Nothobranchius furzeri: one gene and its partner. The protein of the gene in region 1 purifies or fractionates together with the protein of each later gene. This does not show direct contact. Links are inferred from orthologs where the notes say so. Each region holds a gene or a part of one and is shown on either strand. Other genes may lie near its edges.

Region 1 (3,353 bases):
CATCACAGTACAGGGTAAGACTGTGACTTATGGATTTCTAAAAAAAAAAAAATCATACATTACTCCTGAAAAGGGGAAAACTCCAGATTGCTGCTTTAAATAAAATAATTAAATACTATTAAAAATGGCCTTACCTGTGTGAGGTGAGAAAAGTGTTACACATGTATACAGTGTCTACGCTGGAATGCTGCAAATCCTCACACAGCACATCTCCCATGGTGCACTGCAGCAGCCGAGGCACTTGCTCGTTGCGATCGCCGTCAAAGATACCATAGCAAGCTTCCACGCTGTCTCTAAAGTGGTCTACAGCCAGCACAGACACACACAACCTGTACCAGACAATAATAAAACATGAACGTCTGCAAACCTCTTACACGCCACAGATTTAACAAGACAGGCTGAAAACTGACAAGCTGTTTGGGTCCCTGTGGTTGCTAGAACCCCACAGGAAGGCTTTAAATTCAGATACCACCTTAAAAGTTGTTTGTGTAGTAATGCAGTAAAATAAATGTCTTATTTCTCTTCCAGTTTGAGTCATTTTTAAGCTGCGTTTCTCCATGCAATTCAATCACTGAAAGCCAAAACACAGTACACACTTATTTCTTTGGCCTCTCATTTCAGAGTAACCGTGGCGCCACAGCGTTGAGGAACTCAGCGAGTCACCCGACGTCGTTGTGGATTTCTGGTCCAGTTTCAGTGTAGTAATATTACTGAAAAAGGAAAAATACAATACTGACAAAGCAGACGTTTTCTAGATCGACACTCCAAGTAACTTCTCATTATTATTTTTGTAACTATGTATTTCCCATTTATTTTCTACACTCTAAGAAATGAAATGTTGATTTTGCTTAGCCAACTGGTTCCACTAAACCTAGCTGCTTAAATGTAAAAAGTAATATACATTGTTATACAATGTTATGTTACAGGTAAATATATATTACTCTTTACACTGAGCTGTTTCCTGCTCCTCCCCCCTCCTGGCTGAAAGTGGAATTACAACTGTCGTAAACAACCATGCAGCAGCCTGCTGTAGCTAGCGCTAACAACAAGCTAACACTAATATGAGCCAACTAATACTAACATAGACCACAAAGTAAAACATATCCACTGGACAAAAAGTATTATTACTTACAAGTCCAGTAGCAACAAAGCCAGGTCACCATCAGTCCGTGATTTTGTAGCCTCCTTCAGCTCCCTCAAACTAGTGTAGGTCGCACCGATGCTCACTCTAGTTTTAGCTTTTTACTTCACCTCCAAATACATTATTCTCTTAGTTTTACTTCCAGGATCCACCTTGATGACAACAGAAAAGACAAACTTCTTCTTTTTCTTCTTCTTGGGCTCTTTAATGACTATTGGCAAACTGAAAAAGCTAACTGCTAGCAAAACAACTAACAACTGTAAAGCAGGTAAAAAGCACCTATCAGCTCCACAAAACTGTTAAGTGCAGTATCTGTCCAACTGCAGAATAGTGTCAGATATGAAATTGGTCAAGTTTCTAACTCAACAATCACTTAGATCAATGTTAAAGCTCCAGCCTAAAGTTTGAAAAACTATGTAGTGTTACTAGGTTAGTGGAACCAGTTGACATAACTTGGTTAAAGGTCAAATTCCCTGAAAACCCTTTTTTTAGTTATTATTTCTGATTATAATCAGTTTTTTATGCAGCCCGAACATAAAAATAGTGTCCTACACCTATCTCCTGCATTAGCTTCTGATAGAAAATAGACAGTGAAACTTCAGGATTTGAAAATTCTGACAGATCTACGCCACACTGCTTAACATTCATGAACTCACCCATCTTGACTCGTTACGGGGGAAGGCTCGGGTCTGTTAGCGTCCAGGAATCAGCAGAGAACGTTTCGACTAGCAGAAGCTAACGGTTAGCATTAGCAACTCCACCACACAGCAGCATTCCTTCAGGCTTGTGTTATTTGTGGAGATAAAACATCAACATTGCAAAACAAGCGGAGTCAGTGGTAGAGTTGCACTGCTGTGAGCCTATCTGAAGTGAGATGTCCAAATATCAGTAAATAAGACTCTAAATCCTGTCATCCTGCCACTTTCTCATCCAGCTCAATTCTAAATTCTCAAACAGGCGCACCAGAGCTTTATTTCCCCAGACTATGACTTACAAGGCTTTCATTAATTAGAGAATACAAATGTTTTAAAATATGAGTAAAGTTGACCTTTAAGTAATCTCAAGAGTTCATTTCTTAGAGTGTATTGCACATTAGATGCTGCTTTCAGACATCTACCCAATTCGAAGAGATTCAATTTGATTCTTAAGTGAACGGCTCACGGAACTCACCTAAAGAAGTTAAGGGTTTTGTTTTCCAGCGTGAGGCTGCCGTTTCCTGTCAGATCCAGCTCTTGCAGCGTAGCAGGCAGAGACTCGGGAAGCTGGATCTCTGTCAGCTCATTACAGCTCAGATCTACTAGCTGCACGCAGAAAAAAGCAAACGTGAGAGCAAACGTGAGCTGAAACATGCTGAGGTCAATCGTGTGTGGTCAGATGGACCGGGTCTGACCTTGATTTCGGGCAGGTTGAGGATGTCGGGGAAGGTGTTTATGTGATTGGAGTGTGCTATGAGCGTGTGCAGCCTCTTGCAACTGGACACAGTCGAGGGGATTGTCTTTAGCTTGTTGCCACTTAAATTTAGCTCCTCTAGCAGTTCCAGCTTACTCAGCTTACTGGATAAATGGCACATGGAAAAATAATCTCAGATAACAGCAAATCACTATTCATTATATCAGATTCATTCAAAAGTTGTCAATGTTATAAATGCTTCAAAGACAGTGAAGGTTTGGGGTCAGACCTGGCTGGAAAGGAGAGCAGCTGGTTGTAGGCTATGTGAAGGATCCGCAGGTTCTGGTGTCCTACCAGCAGCGCTCCACAGTCCTCGTTCAGGTTGTTCCCCGTCAGGTAGAGCTCCTGGAGTGTGCTGAGGCTCTCCTCTGATTGGCTGCTAAGAGGAACACTTTCCAGGGCATTGGCTGACACGTTTAGGTATTTCAGACTTAAAAGAATAATAATAAAACAAATTAGGATATATCGTCAGGTGTGCAATAGTCTTTATTAGATGGATTAAAGCTATAATTCTAACTTTAACTATGGCTGCTTGTGCAGTTATTAAAATAGAGATGAGAATTTACAGTGCTCAACTAATTAAATTCATTCTTGATATAAGAATTTTATGTGGAAGACTTAAAAAAATAAAGTCATAACACTTATGCATCTTCATGCATATAATTAACAAATACATATTGTGGCTGTGATACGTTTGCAACTGCAGGGGAGCATTTTCACACAACACAATAAGACAGAAAACAGGCTTTTTATAAAAAAAAAA
Region 2 (4,121 bases), on another chromosome or scaffold:
TATCATATTTACAATGTATGGGAAAATGTATGTTTTATCTAAATGTTAAATTAGTTTTGGTTCTGCAAGGGACCAATTGATTTGGATAGGGAAATATGAATTTCCGCTTATATTTTTTTCAAAATAACAGTCACAAAAAGAAGATTTCAGTAGTAAAATAAATAAATAAATATGAAGAGAGAGAGAGAGAGAGAGAGAGAGAGAGAGAGAGAGAGAGAGAGAGAGACCCCAAAGATTAATGTATAATAAATCACTACCATTTGATGAAATATGCTAAATTAAACAACTAAAAATCTGGTATTTGTACTTATCATAATTAAGTCACACGCAAAAAACAAATGACACAAATGAACCCATGGTAAATGTGCCAGTTCAATTGTTTTCAAACGTCTTCGTTTACACTTTGATATGAAATTACATTTTCAGAAATACGATATTTTAACGTGTTAAACGTTTTAAACTATTAAGGTCCGGAAGAACATTGGCCTGGCCAAGAGATGATGATAATGTCTGTGTACTGTACTTTTTTGTTATCATGAAAATTTTGCCTGGCCTAAGCTGTTCGCAGCCAGATCCTGCCTGCCCCTTTCTAAAACTACAATATGGCGTCTTTGACAAGCAGGCTTTTTTGGAGGTGGCTTAATTTATGCCTGCTGTATAAAATGCCAATATATCTTTTCATGTCTTTTTAAACAAGTCTGTTCAAATTAAATGTTTTTATAATAGTCTATCATGTATTTTTAAGCCGTATTTTTGCTAAATTTTGACAGATATTTTCTAAATGAAGGAAGGGCTTCACCGGCAGAGTAACGGCTAGTGGGTTCTTTAGCAGGAAAAAGCGCCAACTTCTCCACCGCCGTCCGATTAGTCAAAACGGTTCAAAAGACGGGACATTTGGGATAATTTATCACATGTAAAATCGGAATGAATCTTTTAGGTGAGAATTAAAACGGTCAGCTCGCTATTTTAATTAAGACTGCTCGTTTGCTTGTAGAGGCAGCGTGCTGCCTGTTTACTCCTCCCACTTCTTCACAACACCTCAATGCCGACCTAGTTTCGTTACTGTGTGTTGTGAAAATAGCTGAAAACCTATTTTAACTGCGTGCTAGTTTCATGTTAGCATTTCCCAAATAGTACAATACAACGGCTCCACACTAGTTGAGGAGGTGTGGTGTCGCCATGCTTAAATCGTTAAGTCAGCTGAAGCCAGCTGGTGTGTTTATAAAATTCTTTGTTTAGTCGGTAATTGGGTGTAGTTTGTTGAACTAGAACAAACAACACTGCTATTCTCAAGCCAATTTGCTTATAACTAGAACCCAAACTTGAGTGCGTAGGTTACGTTCGTTCGTGTGGAACTCTGATGGCGCCCATCGAAATTGGATGTTGCCGTTTTTATTTTGGCCAGTAGGGTGCTGTTGCGTCTTGGTTGAAAAATTAAAGGTACCTTAGAAAACATGTCAAATCTGCAAGGTGAGAGTGCTGGGCCGGCACATGGGAGTCCGGTGAAAAAGAGTAGACTGTCTCTGAAGTTTTTCCAGAAGAAAGAAGCCAAGCGAGCTCTGGATTTCTCTGAACCTCCTGCAGAGGAACCCAAAACAACCGAACCAGAGGGAAGGTAGGAAGTTCCTGATGATTGGTTGATAACTGATCACTAAAACTTCAAATTGAGCACTAACACTACCCGTAACACTTGTATCTATGTTTTATTTTCAACACGTGATTCTTGTGAAGCCCTCGTGAGTTTTTCTTTTTCCTGTTTTCGCCCTTCAGCACCTGTGAACAGGTGGTCTATGGTCCCTCTCCTTATCAAGCATCACCTGGTCTTCCAGCCTCATGTGAGAAGAAAGATAACTTGATTCCTTTCGTGGGTCTCAATAACCTGGGCAACACCTGCTATTTAAATAGTATTTTACAGGTTAGTATTTAAATGAAACTGCAAACTAATAACTAATACCAATTTTGTTAAACTTGTGAAATGTGACAATTCAAAAATGATCTTAAATTGGGAAAAATCATATTTTCTTCATTTGACGTGTTGGCTTGTATTCATAGACTTTATTTTACATGTATGGTGCAATTGCAATTTACTTTTGCAAACTTCTTTGCTGTGATAAAGTCAGTTAAGATCTAATAACTAAAACAGGGATGAGACTTAATTCAACAACAACTTTGAATGAACTTTGCAACTTGTAGAAAATAAAGAATGCAAGGCACTGAACTTAAAGAGCAAGTCACCCCCCCTACAAGAAACTTACTGTACTCCAGGGCTATTCAGTTCTGGGCCTGGAGAGCTGGTTTCCAGCACATTTTAGTTTTAGCTCTGCTTCAACACACCTGATTTCAATCAGCAGGTGATTAACGAGCTTTTGCAGAGCTTGATGAGCTGCTGCACAGGTGATTCAACCACAGAATCTGGTGTTTCGGAGCAGAAAAACCACTAAAACGTGCTGCATACCAGCCCTCCAGGACCAGGATTGAATAGCCCTGCTCTGCTCCCACTTCATGTTTGAAAACTGCAACAAATGCTGTTGCCTGGCAGACCAAGAGGGTGGAGCCGCTAACAATTACACACAGGCCGTTTCTCAGTGTGCATACTTGTCCGAGCTTGTGTACTCGTGTCCTTATGAAACGTCATCAACGAGGACTTTTCCAATCCTATGTATGCATAACGGCTCAAAGTTCCCGGATGTGTTCTTGCTCCACCCATTGTATCGAGGATGCATCAATGCATCCTTCTGCGGACATGGGACAGCAGTTTCCCATAATGCATTGCGTTGCAAACCGTTAAACTCCGAATGTCAGAGGAAAAAGCGAATAACTAATGTTTTACATTGGAGATATAAATAAAGTAACAAAGTTGTCTGTTATTGTAAATATTCGCGTGTAAACTGTAAATTTTGCTGTGTGTATTACTCTTCCCGATCCTTCAAAATGCTAATTAGCTAACCCACTATCAAAATAAAAGCACTGTAGCTCTGTTCTGATGATCTTCTTCCGGCTCTTGGAGAGTACAGACGCCTTTTTCCTCCTCTCCTCCCTATCTTATCCCCAAGGCTCTTTGTTTGTCTTTGGGTGTGCGGAGCTTCTACATTTTTTCTGGAAACTGGCTTGTCTGAATCTGGTGCCCTTGAGCCTGTGAGGCTGAAACAAATACCCTCCCTCAGAAGAAATGTGGAATGCTGCCGTTGCCATGGCAACTCTGTCTCCCTATCCCGGCCTGGGTGGGACTGCGAGCTGTGAAGGCCGCTGAATCGTTCCAGAAGTCACTGTGCTCTGTAAACCCAACAACCCCCCACCCCTATCCAGACTGAGGTGGAGAGCGCTGCTTATCGCGGCTGCTGCTGATGTGTGGAGAGTCCCGAAACCCTACCACCCCACCTAGTGGACACTTATGTTGTGTAATGTCTGAAGTCTGTTGCATTTCTGTCTGAGGTGTGTTTTGCGTAGCAATGCTGTCCTCCCTGTGGAGGGTAACTCTGAAGTGCCTTTTTTCCCTCCACCTGACTCAATCCTCATGTAAACCCTCTGATCTCTATTAAGGTAGCGCGACTCGGGTTGCGAATGACCACAGTCACCAATTCTTGCCGTGTCTGATCTCAGAATTGTGTGTACTGAAACTAATTTCCCTCTGGGATTAATAAAGTATCTTTGAATTGAATTGAATAATAAACTTTTTATTCATTAAAAAGTGGGAAATGCTAGTATTTTAATAGTTTCGATCAAAAGTGGGCCCAATATAATACAAATAATACTTTTTTTTTTATTATTTAAGTAACGAACTAGACTTTTGTTTTAATGTCAGATCATTTTTTTATCTGTAGCAAGAAGCAGCGCTTGTTGCCAGGACACAACGGAGTACGGTTCTGTTCCAAATGCCGTCCTCGTCCTCCCGTACTCGGTAGAACAGACTTTCTGGTGTCCTTGCCAAGAACATACTTGTCTAGTACACATGAACATACTAGCATCCTTGAGTACTGAGAAATGGCCACAGGCTCAAAATGATGTTGTGATGTCAGAATGTACCAGCTAATGTCCAGAACGCAGCAACACACGTCACCTCTCTGTTCATTGAGCTCCACTGGCTACCGCTAGCAGCACGCATCAAATTCAAATAGCTAACA

What was found. The genes of interacting proteins can lie anywhere in the genome.
Region 2: the proteins of phlpp2 (region 1) and usp1 purify together in Homo sapiens (affinity purification with mass spectrometry; 3 studies listed by BioGRID and IntAct, with this or other methods). This does not show direct contact. The link is inferred for Nothobranchius furzeri from reciprocal best matches to the Homo sapiens genes PHLPP2 and USP1.

Annotation. Positions count from the first base shown.
Region 1 is NC_091749.1:59,321,339-59,324,691, forward strand, and holds part of phlpp2 (PH domain leucine-rich repeat-containing protein phosphatase 2), read right to left. Parts: intron 3,021-3,353; coding exon 2,820-3,020; intron 2,695-2,819; coding exon 2,532-2,694; intron 2,443-2,531; coding exon 2,312-2,442; intron 711-2,311; coding exon 597-710; intron 330-596; coding exon 135-329; intron 1-134. UniProt on the Homo sapiens protein: Protein phosphatase involved in regulation of Akt and PKC signaling.
Region 2 is NC_091748.1:69,501,280-69,505,400, reverse strand, and holds the start of usp1 (ubiquitin carboxyl-terminal hydrolase 1), read left to right. Parts: upstream 1-1,230; 5' UTR 1,231-1,454; coding exon 1,455-1,615; intron 1,616-1,770; coding exon 1,771-1,915; intron 1,916-4,121. UniProt on the Homo sapiens protein: Negative regulator of DNA damage repair which specifically deubiquitinates monoubiquitinated FANCD2. Also involved in PCNA-mediated translesion synthesis (TLS) by deubiquitinating monoubiquitinated PCNA.